Xenopus tropicalis: one gene and its partner. The protein of the gene in region 2 purifies or fractionates together with the protein of the main gene of each other region. This does not show direct contact. Links are inferred from orthologs where the notes say so. Each region holds a gene or a part of one and is shown on either strand. Other genes may lie near its edges.

Evidence for each region. Proteins that work in one complex are often made in the same cells at the same time.
Region 1: the proteins of ccdc68 (region 2) and cep170 purify together in Homo sapiens (co-immunoprecipitation; 3 studies listed by BioGRID and IntAct, counting the BioPlex papers as one, with this or other methods). This does not show direct contact. The link is inferred for Xenopus tropicalis from reciprocal best matches to the Homo sapiens genes CCDC68 and CEP170.

What each region holds. Positions count from the first base shown.
Region 1 is NC_030681.2:57,385,656-57,392,582, forward strand, and holds part of cep170 (centrosomal protein of 170 kDa), read left to right. Parts: intron 1-467; coding exon 468-947; intron 948-3,778; coding exon 3,779-4,422; intron 4,423-6,927.
Region 2 is NC_030677.2:203,221,227-203,228,253, forward strand, and holds the start of ccdc68 (coiled-coil domain-containing protein 68), read left to right. Parts: upstream 1-1,957; 5' UTR 1,958-2,206; intron 2,207-7,027. UniProt on the Homo sapiens protein: Centriolar protein required for centriole subdistal appendage assembly and microtubule anchoring in interphase cells. Together with CCDC120, cooperate with subdistal appendage components ODF2, NIN and CEP170 for hierarchical subdistal appendage assembly.

The sequences.
Region 1 (6,927 bases), on a different chromosome or scaffold from region 2:
TACCTGGGAAATGAAGAATATGGTTAGGTCAATATAAAATTTTAGAATTTAATATAAAAGAAATCCATTTGCATTTTTAAAAAACAGTTTTTAATGCAGGGTTCTGCTGGAGAATCTCTATTAACGGATGCATTTTGAAAAAAAAAATGTTTTACCATGAAAGTACCCACAAAATGTGTTGTGTATGTATGTGTATATGACAAAGTGTCCGCACATTGGCTTGATTAATCACGTACCTTGATTCTGAGTAAGCTGCATGAATCTGTATCGGGATTATTAAATGTTTATTTATTTTCAGTAAACTTAAGTTATGTGTATCCAAATTACAGAAAGACCCATGCCTCAAGCATGTCAGAATTATAGATCCTATACCTGTGTATATATAAATACAGGTCTTGAGTCACTGTTATTACTGATTGTCCAGTTAAATCTTAGGTCTAAAGTGGTCTAACTGATTTTATTTGCAGGCTACAACAAGGATACTAAGAAAGATAGAGATGAGGGCACAGCAGGGAAAGAGGAAACATTATTTCTGCTTTGTAGGGAGCCAAGTTACTTTGAGATACCGACAAAAGAATCTCCACAAAAATCTGATGTTGAAGAGAACATTATCCATGAAATCCCAACGAAGGACACACATTGCTCTCATGCACTAGGTGCAGGACATGCATCATTTACAATAGAGTTTGATGAGAACTCTCCAGGTAAAGTAACTATTAAGGATCACGTTACAAAATTCACTCCAGATTATCGACAGAAATCAAAGAAAACATCACCATCTTGCGCCAAGGATCTCTCTGCATTACAAACAGAGATGTTGGCTGCAGAAAGTAAAGTTGCAGATTGGTTGGCACAAAACAATCCACCATGTTTGAGAAAAGAAGTGCCTGAGGAAGATACCAAGAGTATTAAAAGTGATGTTCCAGTTTACCTGAAGAGACTGAAAGGTAATATACTAAACACCAATAGTTTATATTGTTTTATATATTTTATGTCAGAAAAGACGGTAAGGAAATCCCTGTGTTTTCGGAGCACTTCAAGTTATAATCATCAACAGAAAATCTTTCATCGGCTCACCACGTCAACTGGGGCTTTTACTAAAGTTTAATTTTATTTGGTTCTATTTTTTTTTTTAGTTTTGTAGTGATTTATTATGCAACAAAGCTGTGACAATTTTTAATGCAAAAAGTCAGTGGCAGTTACAGATCTTTTTTTGCTTCATTATTTTTAAACTTTACAGGGTTTTTTTGTGCTGGCTTTTGTATGACAGTACAAAAAAGTCACATTTTTTAGTGACTTTTTTTACCTTTTGTGCTTTTTCAATTCTAATCTTTTGATAAATGGCATTCATGAAAATGATGTTTGAGTTTATTTTTTTTTTTCATTTAAATTTGAGTTTAGTTTAAAAAAATTTGAATAAAAAACATGAAAATCCGAATGTTATTAAACGGGCCTCGCCATTTTTAAAAAATTTTTAACAGACTTAAGGTAAAAATAAATTACAGAAAAATCCCCTTCTGGAAAATCCCCGGACCCTTGAATTCTGCAGGTAGATCATATACTGATATTTGTATAGTGTTTTGAATTATGTCTGATTTAAACATGCACCAGTTCATTATCTTCAGAGTGTACTAAATAAGAACAATTAAAATTGTACACACCATTGCATGTCATATGGTTCTTGTTTAAACAAAAACTACTGTAGTGTAATTTTGTACAAATATTTATTTTTAACAGTTCCTCAGCCTAGCATATTCTTCCTCATTTTTCTTGTTTCACAAGTTCATTCTAGCATGAATCAGTTATTCAGAATGCCCAACTGCCTAATAGCACACATGAGTTTGAAGAAACAAAAGTGTTTGGTTGAGGCACAACCTTAATATTTCATTTATATCATTATATTCTACAAACAAGAGAAAACACTCCCAGTGTATTAGCATAAGAACTATACAGTGAGCAGCTTTGTGGCCCAATTTATTTGTCATAATGTAAATTCTTACAAAAACCTTTAAAAAAATAAATAAATGACAGTGAAATAGCATTTAAAGGTGATATTCTGCTTTCCATATCCAAACACTTATTACCCTCTGTTTTACAAACAAAACAAACAATTTCTGACTTTGGACAAATCTTTGACTTTAAGAGCCATAGCCTTGTCTTACAAAACACATAAACCTGCATGGGCCAAATTATACCAATTAAAGCTGGCCAAAGACACCTTCACCTACTTGGCAAGTTGAGACAACAACAAGCCACACAAAATTTACACTGACTTTAACCTTGATCTTAGAAAATAAAGCCAAAAAGATACATAAATGGCTTAAATAATAAATGCTAAAACTCACGACAAGAGTAAATTTGATAACATTGATCTCATGTCCTTTCGCAAATTTTTGGACTCAGTTCAGATCCTGCCAGAATTATTATTAGAGTTGACAACACAACCCACTGGCATAAAAATTTGACAGATGTAGCATCTAAATAGTTACTATACACTACACCATAATAAGAAACAAAGCAGAATGAATAGCTATTTGTCCTCATTGTCTTTAAATGAGAACTGGATCTTAACAAAAGAAGTAGGGCAAAATGTTGTAAATTATATTTATGGCTTTTAAACAAGCCCTAGGCAACCACAGCCATTTAGCAGTGAAGATCTGTGCCTTCAAAGATGCCCTTCAGTAGCTCCCCATCTTCTTTTCTGCTTATTCACTACATTCTCTGTGCTGCTGTCAGCTGCTTGTTCATATGGCAGGGAACATTATTACTTGCTTGCTGGCACAGGCAGGGCCGGACTTCTAAATAGGGTGCCATTGTGGCTGGGCAGCATGCCGCTCCTAAATTTCTGCCATCCTAGGCCCGGGCCTTTGTGGCCTCATCACAAATCCGGGCCTGGGCACAGGTACTTTAGGGGTATAAATGTGCTGGCACAGCTTTAGATATCCCTCTACAGGAGCTACTGAGTTTGTACTTCAGTAGTGAGTGCAATTTGCAGCTCTTTTCTTTTTTTATCTGGCTTATCACCCATTGCTGTAGCCCATTGCCCCTGGACTGCTAGACCATACTGGCCTTGTGGAGGAGTAACCCATGGAAGGAATTTTGTAATAATAATAATAACTGTTATATTCAAGGCTTTAGCTGTGAAATTAGCCAGTAATACTGCAACAGAAGCTTCTGAAAATAAGGCTTAAGTAAGATCAATATACATTCGGCTCTTAATATATTCATTAGACAAAACCAAATGGGAAATACAATATTTCAGAAATTTAAGCTGGCTTGATACACTGCTGACTTGGGAGTCAATATCTGTCAGTATATGGGAACTTTTAGAGCTGCTGAGTGTGTTTGGGGAGAGCAAAGGAGAAGTTTAGAATAAGTGTTTAGGCAGCAAAGGACAAATAGAACTCTGGACTCGCTGGTCAGTATACAAGATCATCTGGAAAAGCTGGAAACTCATGATAAGGACAATAAACAACTGGATCATGCCATAACAAGATATTTACTGAAACCCTAGCAGAAAATAGCAAACCCATAAATCTGTAACCTGTAAATCGTAATAAACCTGAAATAAAACCTAAAGAAACAAACTACCAAGAATCTGCTTCTAATTGCAGCTTGTAAGTTGAGCCATGTGTGGGTAAAAGTAAAAATGTATATATATTTAAAACCTGCTTCATTTTGGTATTTTAATATTCTTGTTCTTTTTCCCCAAATATTAATATCAGTGTTCTATTCACAATGTGTCTTATTCATTTTTCCTCTGGTTTTTCCTAAATAGGGCACACACACGATGATGGAACACAAAGCGATTATGAAAATAGTGGGGCTCACAAACGTTTCAATAAGTGTACGAACTTAGATGAACATTTAAGACCAAGAAATCTTGAACAAACAAAGTTAAACATAAAATTCCATTCTTCAGGAAAACACCAAGAAACAAGTCAAACTGCTTTTATGATAGAATTTTTTGATGATGACCATCCTAGAAAGAGGCGTTCATATTCTTTTACACAGAATGCAGGTGCTGCTGGTCCAGAAGCACCTTATCCTATACCACAGTCAAGAATTGAAAAGGTAAAAGCTGCTTCAACTGACCACAAACTATTAACAATAGGTTCACAGTCTGGTACATCTTCTCACAGAGTGATCCACAGCACACAGCATGCAAAATTGTTGTTGAAACAAAAATCAGAAGAACCCTGTGCACCATTAATGTTATCACAAAATGTGTTATTAAGAAGCTCTGGAAGTCTTGGACATCGACCAAACAAAAAACGAGTCATAGGTGATGAATTGGAAATCCCCTCTGTTTCTGATTGTAATAAAAGGCATGTTGATGACCAAGGTGACAAAGTGAGATATGCTAATAAATGGGATTTGCTTAATCAAGAGGAGACTGACCCTTCTAAAATGATTGATAAGGTAGGATTGATTTTGCTATAATATGCAGTGCATTAATTTGCATCTGTAAAAAATGAGCAATTAGGAGTTTATCTGCAGAAAGTGTTTTCTTTTAGGGGTAACATTGCTCTTGCCAAAGTGTTGTAGTTCAACCTTTATTAATATCAATGTCTACCAGAAATTAAAAAAAATACAACCTTCTGGGTACCATGCCCCTATGTATTTAATAATTTCATTATCCAGTTTGCTTAGACAGCAATTAGAGGTTTTAAAGCAAAACTTTTCTGTAATCTTTGAGCTTTTCTGCTACACTGCTACTGTTTCCTTGTAGCAGTATAGGTAGCAGCTTTACTTGTGTCATGTAGTGAATTATGGAATTTCAGGAATGTTTCTGAATGGTTAACTGGACTGATAAATAGTGCTGTGGGTACCTCCTGTACCTGGTCCTGTATCACGATGGTTAGAGTACCTTTGGCATATTACATTACATTACATTAACATTTATTTATAAAGCGCCAACATATTCCGCAGCGCTGTACAATATGTGGGTTACATACATTGGACATACAGAGTAACATATAAAGCAATCAGTAACCGATACAAGAGGCATATTGTGCACTTGTGACTGTTTTGGTCTAAACTGAAGTTCACGGGAATTATCTGAGTACTGGTAATCTTCAGTTTCCTTGTTTCTCCTGTTTAACTTTAGAAATAACAAAAACTTACGTTTTGCTTATTTTATTCATGAAAAACAATGTTCAGCACAAAATCCACAACTAGCCATTAGCATATGCAGAATGACCATTTGAAATTATATCAGACTCTAGAAGGTGGGTGATGTGACTTACCATATAGGCAGCAACCAAATTGCTGTCAGAGCAGACAAATTCTAGAGCCCACAACAAATATCTGTCAATCTTCTTTTAAAGGACATGTAAACCCTACACACAAAAATTTAACCAGTGAATAGCCTCTTCGAAATCTTTCAATACCTGCCACACTGGTTGTCCAGTGGTTAATAGTAAGGCTGCAACATCCCCTTAATCACTTAGATTTCCTTCTCCTCCTCCCGAGTTCCTCCTGAGCTCAGCTTTACTATTACAGTGCTCAAACAAAGCAGAACTTTTATCAAAGACAGTTGTGCCTGTGTGAGCCTGTATTTTTGATGAAATGTATGCTGAATAAGGGTTTGTGTGTGTGTATGCTGTTTGCAGATTTAAATGTATCTGGGTCACCGGGTGAAAGCTGCTATTTGCTTTAGGAAAATGTGATGGTGCTTACAAGCGGAGGGGATATATGCAGTACAAATGATGCAATTTGGGTGGGGGAGACGTGCCCAACTGATATACATTGTAGGTAAATGTAGGCTTTACATGTCCTTTAAGATTGATTATACTTAAGGTCTGGCCTGGGAAGTAAAGTGATACAAAGACATTCACAGAAATCATAATTAGAAGTTACCTTATTAATTAGGGGGAAAATTATGAAAAGTTAAGTTGGGATTGAATAGCAAAGTCAGCCTGCTTGGAAAGTTGACCAGCGACCTTTGAAACTGTGGTCCCAGCTCTCTTCATGTCATTGACCAGTGCCTCCCTTGTAGTTCTGGGCTGATTTCTCACCTCTCTTATCATCAGTGATACCCCACGAGGTGAGATCTTGCATGGAGCCCCAGTGCTAGGGAGACTGACAGTCATCTTTAGCCTCTTCCATTTTCTAACAATTGCTCCAACAGTTGATCTATTTTCACCAAGCTGCTTGGCAATTGCCCCATAGCCCTTTCCAGCCTTGTGGAGGCCCACAATTTTGTCTCTGGTGTCTTTTTACGGCTCTTTGGTCTTGCCCTATGGTAGTAGTTGGAGTCTGACTGACTGTGGGGTGGACAGGTGTCTTTAAAGAGCTCAGACAGGTGCTACTAATTTAGTTTAATGAGTGGAGGAGAGGTGGACTATTTAAAGGCACAGTAACAGGTCTTTGAGAGCCAAAATTCTTGCTGATTGCCAGGTGTTCAAATACTTATGTGCAACAGTGCAATACAAATAGATTCTTTAAAAATCATACAATGTGATTTCCTGAATTTTTTTTTTTAAATGCTGTCTCTCACAGTGGGAATGCACCTACAATTTGAATTTTAGACCCCTCCATGATTTCTAAGTTGGAGAACTTGCAAAATTGCAGGGTGTTCAAATACTTTTGTTCCTCAATGTAGTCCACATGATCCTCCACAACAAAATACCTCAAAAATGAAAAAACATGAGGCTGGCACTAAAGAAAACTGGACCAAATAGTCAAGAAGTGGTGCAGTTAAAACATTTTTATTTAAAGAAAGAACATCTCAAAACAAGAGCTGCCTAATGCGTTTCATGCCTAAAGTGGGCACTTAACATTGGTATGATTAAGTGCCCGTTCTAGGCATGAAACGCGATAGGCCCACAGGAGCCAGTATGTCTCATGTGTATGTCACACAGTGCTTTTCTCTGAAGCGGTGGAGAAAAGTCTGATCTTTTTTGTTTGTCCATTGACAGGAAA
Region 2 (7,027 bases):
GAGACAGAAACCTCCTGCCCATAATCTAATTGGAGCAGTCATTAGAGAGAAAGAGACAGTAACCCTGGCCCCAGAGACTCCAGGCTGTGCCCAAGTACTCAGGCATTAGGCACAGCTGAACTTTACCCCTGCGAGGAGAAAGGGTGTGGAGCAGCGGTGCTTAGGGAGGAGGGCAGCCTGTTTGTATCTGCCCTGGGCACTGCCTGCATGTATTCCCCTTGCTTCTCCCAGAATAGGCACCGGTACCAACCCTTGGGCACCTTTATAATGCTCCCGTTGGGCACCTTTATAATGCTTCTGTTGGGCACCTTTATAATGCTCCCGTTGGGCACCTTTATAATGCTCCCGTTGGGCACCTTTATAATGCTCCTGTTGGGCGCCTTTATAATGCTACCGTTGGGCACCTTTATAATGCTCCCGTTGGGCACCTTTATAATGCTCCCGTTGGGCACCTTTATACTGCTCCCGTTGGGCACCTATATACTGCTCCCGTTGGGCACCTTTATACTGCTCCCGTTGGGCACCTTTATACTGCTCCCATTGGGCACCTTTATAATGCTCCCTTTGGGCACCTATATACTGCTCCCGTTGGGCACCTTTATACTGCTCCCATTGGGCACCTTTATAATGCTCCCTTTGGGCACCTATATACTGCTCCCGTTGGGCACCTTTATACTGCTCCCATTGGGCACCTTTATAATGCTCCCTTTGGGCACCTATATACTGCTCCCGTTGGGCACCTTTATAATGCTCCCTTTGGGCACCTATATACTGCTCCCGTTGGGCACCTTTATACTGCTCCCATTGGGCACCTTTATAATGCTCCCTTTGGGCACCTATATACTGCTCCCATTGGGCACCTTTATAATGCTCCCTTTGGGCACCTATATACTGCTCCCGTTGGGCACCTTTATACTGCTCCCGTTGGGCACCTTTATAATGCTCCCGTTGGGCACCTATATACTGCTCCCGTTGGGCACCTTTATACTGCTCCCGTTGGGCACCTTTATAATGCTCCCGTTGGGCACCTATATACTGCTCCCGTTGGGCACCTTTATAATGCTCCCGTTGGGCACCTTTATACTGCTCCCGTTGGGCACCTATATACTGCTCCCGTTGGGCACCTTTATAATGCTCCCGTTGGGCACCTATATACTGCTCCCGTTGGGCACCTATATACTGCTCCCGTTGGGCACCTTTATACTGCTCCCGTTGGGCACCTATATACTGCTCCCGTTGGGCACCTTTATACTGCTCCCGTTGGGCACCTATATACTGCTCCCGTTGGGCACCTATATACTGCTCCCGTTGGGCACCTATATACTGCTCCCATTGGGCACCTATATACTGCTCCCGTTGGGCACCTTTATACTGCTCCCGTTGGGCACCTATATACTGCTCCCGTTGGGCACCTTTATACTGCTCCCGTTGGGCACCTATATACTGCTCCCGTTGGGCACCTATATACTGCTCCCGTTGGGCACCTTTATACTGCTCCCGTTGGGCACCTATATACTGCTCCCGTTGGGCACCTATATACTGCTCCCGTTGGGCACCTTTATACTGCTCCCGTTGGGTGCCTTTATAATGCTCCTGTCGCAGTTCCCACCCTGCTTGCTTTTCCATGGGATCAACAAGTGCACAGATTCCTATTCAGCCCTCCGGCTCTAGCTAACTATTAACGTCATTATGTCCGGTCACACCCTGCCTAGGGCTATGTACTAATCACCCTCAGATTTAATGCCATTAGTGTATGTTTTGTAATACAGGGGGCTGCTCAGCACCTCAGGCACAGGGCCTTTATAACCCAGCAGGGGTTGGCACAGGCAGGGGTTGGCACAGGTAGGGTTAAGCTCACCTGTTGCCTTGTGTTTATATATACACTTGCTATTTAACCCTTTCCTTGAAATTGCCAGCAAAGCATTCAATTCAGCCAATGGAACGGGGGGGGGGGGAAGGGAGCACTGCAAAGGTTAATGTGGTTTCCCTGTGTATGTGATTGTGTGCTGCCTGCTGTCACCCAGTGGAGAGGTGTCTGACTCACAGGTAGGTGGGGCCCCGGCTCCCCAGGCAGAACTGACTGTGCTGCGCTGGAACACACAGGCGCTGATGGCTGCTCCCCTAATCTGTGCCCTGAGAGTGTGAGATCCCTTGCCGAGCCGGGGTAACGGCTACTCAGCACAAGGCAATACAAGCCCCCCGTAAGGTAAGTCTCCCTAGAGGGGTGCTTGGGTTGGGAGGTGGGGGGGATTTAAAAAAAAAAAGTTTTTCCTTTTTCCATCCATAAATGGATTTTATAATTGTGTAGATTGTAAGCTCTTTTGGGCAGGGCTCTCTTCACCTCTTGTATCGGTTATTGGTTGCTTTATATGTTACTCCTTGTAGAGTGTAAGCTCTTTTGGGCAGGACTCTCTTCCCCTCTTGTATCGGTTATTGGTTGCTTTATATGTTACTCTGTATGTCCAATGTATGAAACCCACTTATTGTACAGCGCTGCGGGGTATGTTGGCGCTTTATAAATAAATGTTAATAATAAGAATTGTTCAATGGCTGTAGCCATGTGCGGGGTTGGCCAGGTATTGCATATAGAGTGCAGCTCTGTGCATTTGTACTGCAACTCTCATCACTCCCTGAAAGCCTTCAGCGGCTATGGAAGTGCAGGGGAAATTTGTAAAACCATAACTATTATTGTGTAACGTTATAAATGCATTTGGTGGAACATCTTGTATGTTGCAATCTGATTGAATGCGGGTTCCATTCAGTTCTGTGTTAGTACAGCGCTTGGGTCACAGGTCGCAAGGGCTGAAGTCACTTTCACTCCCTCTATTTACCCCCAGGGCAATGCAGAGCTGCTCCCTGTAGCGCTCTATCTCTCCTCACTAATTATATATATATATATATATATATATATATATATATATATATACATACAGTGCCTGGATGCTGCCATAGCACTCTCTGCACAGGAGGAAGTGCTAAAAGAAATCTCAGCGGGGGGAGAAAAAGGGACATTTTTCTGTAAAAATGAAAAAAGGAACTTGTCAGGTTTATTGTGCTGCTAATATCATATATTTCATATATAACATTATGATTCCTGTCCCATTATACTGTATGGGGGCTGATGCACTTCACAGAAATCAGGGACATTACTACAGAGTAAGAACCTGAGGCACCCTGGAGATATAGGGGTCCCAGTGGGGCATTAAAGTTAAGGGGTGGGTCACCTTCAGGTAAACGAATTGCCTATTCTTTTTCAATAGGTCTTTATTGTTTATAGCTCTTGAATTGCCTTCCTCTTCTGACTCTTTCTGGCTTTCAAAGTGGGGGGTCACTGACCCCAGCAGCTAAATAACCCTTGCTCTTTGAGGCTGCAATTTTATTGTCACTTTTTATTACTGATTACTAATTTCTAGTTAAGCCCTCCTCTATCCATATTCCTGGTTGCTAGGCTAAACTGGACCCCAGCAACAAAATAGCTGCTGACGTTTTAAACTAGAGAGCTGCTGAACAAAAAGCAAAATAATTCAAACACTGCAAATAAAAAAAAATGAAGACCAATTGCAAATTGTTTCAGAATAGCACTCTCTAAATCATACTAAAAGGATGAACTACCTTTTTTAAGGGGGGCCCCAGAATGATTTGTGGCGCACATCTGGCACTGTTAGCAGCCTCTCAATAGGAGTGAATTTAGTTATGATTTTTTATTATACAGGTATCGGACCCCTTATCCGGAAACCCGTTATCCAGAAAGCTCCGAATTACGGAAAGCCCATCTCCCATAGACTCCATTTTAATCAAATAATTCAGAATTTTAAAACTGATTTCCTTTTTCTATGTAGAAATAAAACAGTACCTGTACTTGATCCAAACTAAGATAGAAATAATCCTTATTGGATGCAAAACATTCCTATTGGGTTTAATTAATGTTTTATTGATTTTTTAGTAGACTTAAGGTGTGGAGATCCAAATTACGGAAAGATCCCTTATCCGGAATGCCCTTGGTCCTGAGCATTCTGGATAATGGGTCCTATACCTGTAATAACTCTATTCTAGGGTTTCAGGCCATTGATCCAATCAGCTGCAGTTCAGCTACAACTCCCAAGGAATGATGGGGGGGCTGTAGTTGGACAATGATTGGTGCAATAGTTCAAAAACCCCCATAGAGAATATAAAATATAAATGGCTCGTTTATCCTCACTTGTGGGTAATTGTCATCATAATAGCATGTAAGGACACCGGATCTATGAGGCTTTAGTAGAGCAACTTACTACAATCAGTTTTGTTTAAGAGGATGCTGGGAGCTGTAGTTTAGATACAAATGAATGTATTGCCTATAAAAGCAATGATAAGTGGTACCCTCCTCTGTTCCGCTAAAGAGGTTCTCACCGAGTCCCATTCAGATCCTGGCATGCAGAACTGCAGCATCGTGTAATTACCTGCATTTTGTTTTTCTGCTTTTTATTAGCACTGGCGCCTGTATAAAGAGTCATTGTATGGGATCAATTGACAGGCAGGACCAAACCTGTAGCTGAGCAGATCCTGGGGAATGGGGGTGTCACTGCCCTAGGGATGGGAAGCACCCATATTCACCAATATAAGCCAGTTTGCACTGCTGGCTCCCAGCACAGTCTGCACAGAGCCCTCTCTAGGGGGTTCAAATAAGAACTCTGGACAGTAAAGGGACCCAGCTGAACTACAGAGGTAGGTTGGAAAAATGGGCATAATATGTACATTATAGCACAGCAGGATGGGCATGGTCGGGCAAGGTAGCACCACTAGAGCAAGATGGTAAGCGTAGGGCAAGATTGGTGGTAGTAGGGCAAGATGGCAGCAGTACTTGTATAAACGTTCCAGCATGGTGCCATTGACCTTTTAGTATGATGTAAAAAGTGATACTCTGAGACAATTGCAGTTGGTCTTCATTTTTTTCCAGTTTTTTTATTCAGCAGCTCCTCTGTTGAGGGTGAAGACACACAGAGCTACTTAGTAGCAGCTACTTGTCACGGCTACAAAACGCCATAGACAGTACTGAAGATTTCCTCTGCTAAAACACACATAGAAACAATTATCAGTAAATAATCAACATTGTCTATTTTAGTAGCCGTGACAAGTAGCTGCTACTAGTAGACCTATGTGTCTTCACCCTTAAGGTTCCCATACACATGAAGATCCGCTCGCTTGGCAAGGTCGCCAAGCGAGAGGATCTTCTCCCTATATCCCCACCTACGGGTGGGCGATATCGGGGAAAATGTAGGCTAATTCGATCATTTGGCCCTGGGGCCAAACGATCAAATTATAATGGCAGCAATGGGGCAATCGGTCCAACTAAATCTTTTAACCTGCCTCAGGGCAAATATCTGTCGTTCCTGCCCCTACACGGGCCGATAAACTGCCGAATGGGTCCAAGGGACCGATATTGGCAGCTACAATTGGCCCGTGTATGGCCACCTTTAGTGTTTTAGTTAAGCTATCTGATTGCTAGGGTCTTATTTACCCTAGTGGCAGTGGTTTGAATGAGAGAGTGGAATATGAATATAAGAGGCCTGAAGAGAATAATAAAATAAGTAACAATAAAACTGTAGCCTCACAGAGCAATAGCGTTTTGGCTGCTGGGGTGCTATTTGAAAGGTGAACAGGGTCAGCCTTGTGCAGGAGCATGGGGCAAGGAGGTCGCCCCAATTCTAGCTGCCGATATTGGTCCTTTAGACATATTGGGCAGCTTATCTGGCCGTGTATGGGCACTAACGACGGGCCTCACCGACTGACATCTGGCCTGAAATCAGATAGTTCTCGATCGGGCAGGTTTAATTTTTACGTCGGATCGGGGCCCGTAGGTGGGCATATCTGGAGAAGATCCGCTCACTTGGCGACCTTGCCAACAGGTGGATCTTACAGTGTATGACCAGCTTTAGTCAATCGCATACAGTTTTGCAGGTAGATAAAACAAGAATGAGGGCTGAGCTGAAACTCTATATAAATGCAGTAAAGCACTGAGCTGATGCAGTTTTGCATTTGTTTACATTGCCGGACCGACACCGCTTCTTACACGTTTATCACTATTGTGCCTGTAGTTACCACTTCTGATTTCCCCTGCACAAAGCTCCTCTCTGGGCCTGATTGTGAGCAGTGCAAGGACACAAGTGAGGGAACAATAAGCGATCAAACTGCCTGTTTATCTTTTCATCTCCGCTCAAAGGCTGCACCTGTTTATCCAGCAGTGCCACAATGGCTTCCATTCATTCCGCCGCTGAAACTCTAGGAGCCCTTTTTTTTTCCAGCGTGTGTTTGTATTTGTTTCGCCAGACTCGCCTTTTTTTGCTTACGAAGATTTCTCATACTAGAGATTTTCTGTAACAGGATTTGCTTAATGTCAGGGCCTTAGGGTTTGTTTACAATAAGACCGTTGAAATATGTCATTTATTTGGCTGTGGCTTTAAGCCAACAAAGCATGGTTGACAACTGTAGCCTGGATATAGATTGCTCTGTTGAGGAGCTAAGTTATGGGGGGGGTGTGGGGTGGGGTAGGGTGGTAGAAACGGCTGTGACTTCACTCCAAAGTCTTATCTATTGCCCCTATAGCCCTGTCTCCAGTGGCCAAAGACAACAATATAGATAGGAATCCCAGCATATTCCCAGCAATAGGCCAGATTCCTTTGGAAACCCATGTAGGATCCCAGCAAGCACATTGAGGGACTGGTGGCACTGCTGGCTGGCTGGCCCTTAACTGGTTGGCAATATACAGGCAATAAAGGGTGTATGAGAGGCATGTAACGGGTTGGCTCATCTCACATCCCCATGAAATGCTCTTTTTAGAGGCTTTACACAAGTGAGATATTTATCACAAGAGCTTGCACACAGCACACTTTGGTATTTTAGGAGGCATCTAGGAAGGGTTTGTGGTTGCTGACGCCACACAGTAAATGGCACATTGTAAAGGTAATAATAATGTGATGTGAATAAGCAGAACTATAAATAGAGACTAATGAAGTTCCAGCACGAAGATGCTCTGGGGGCTGGTAGTGCCGGG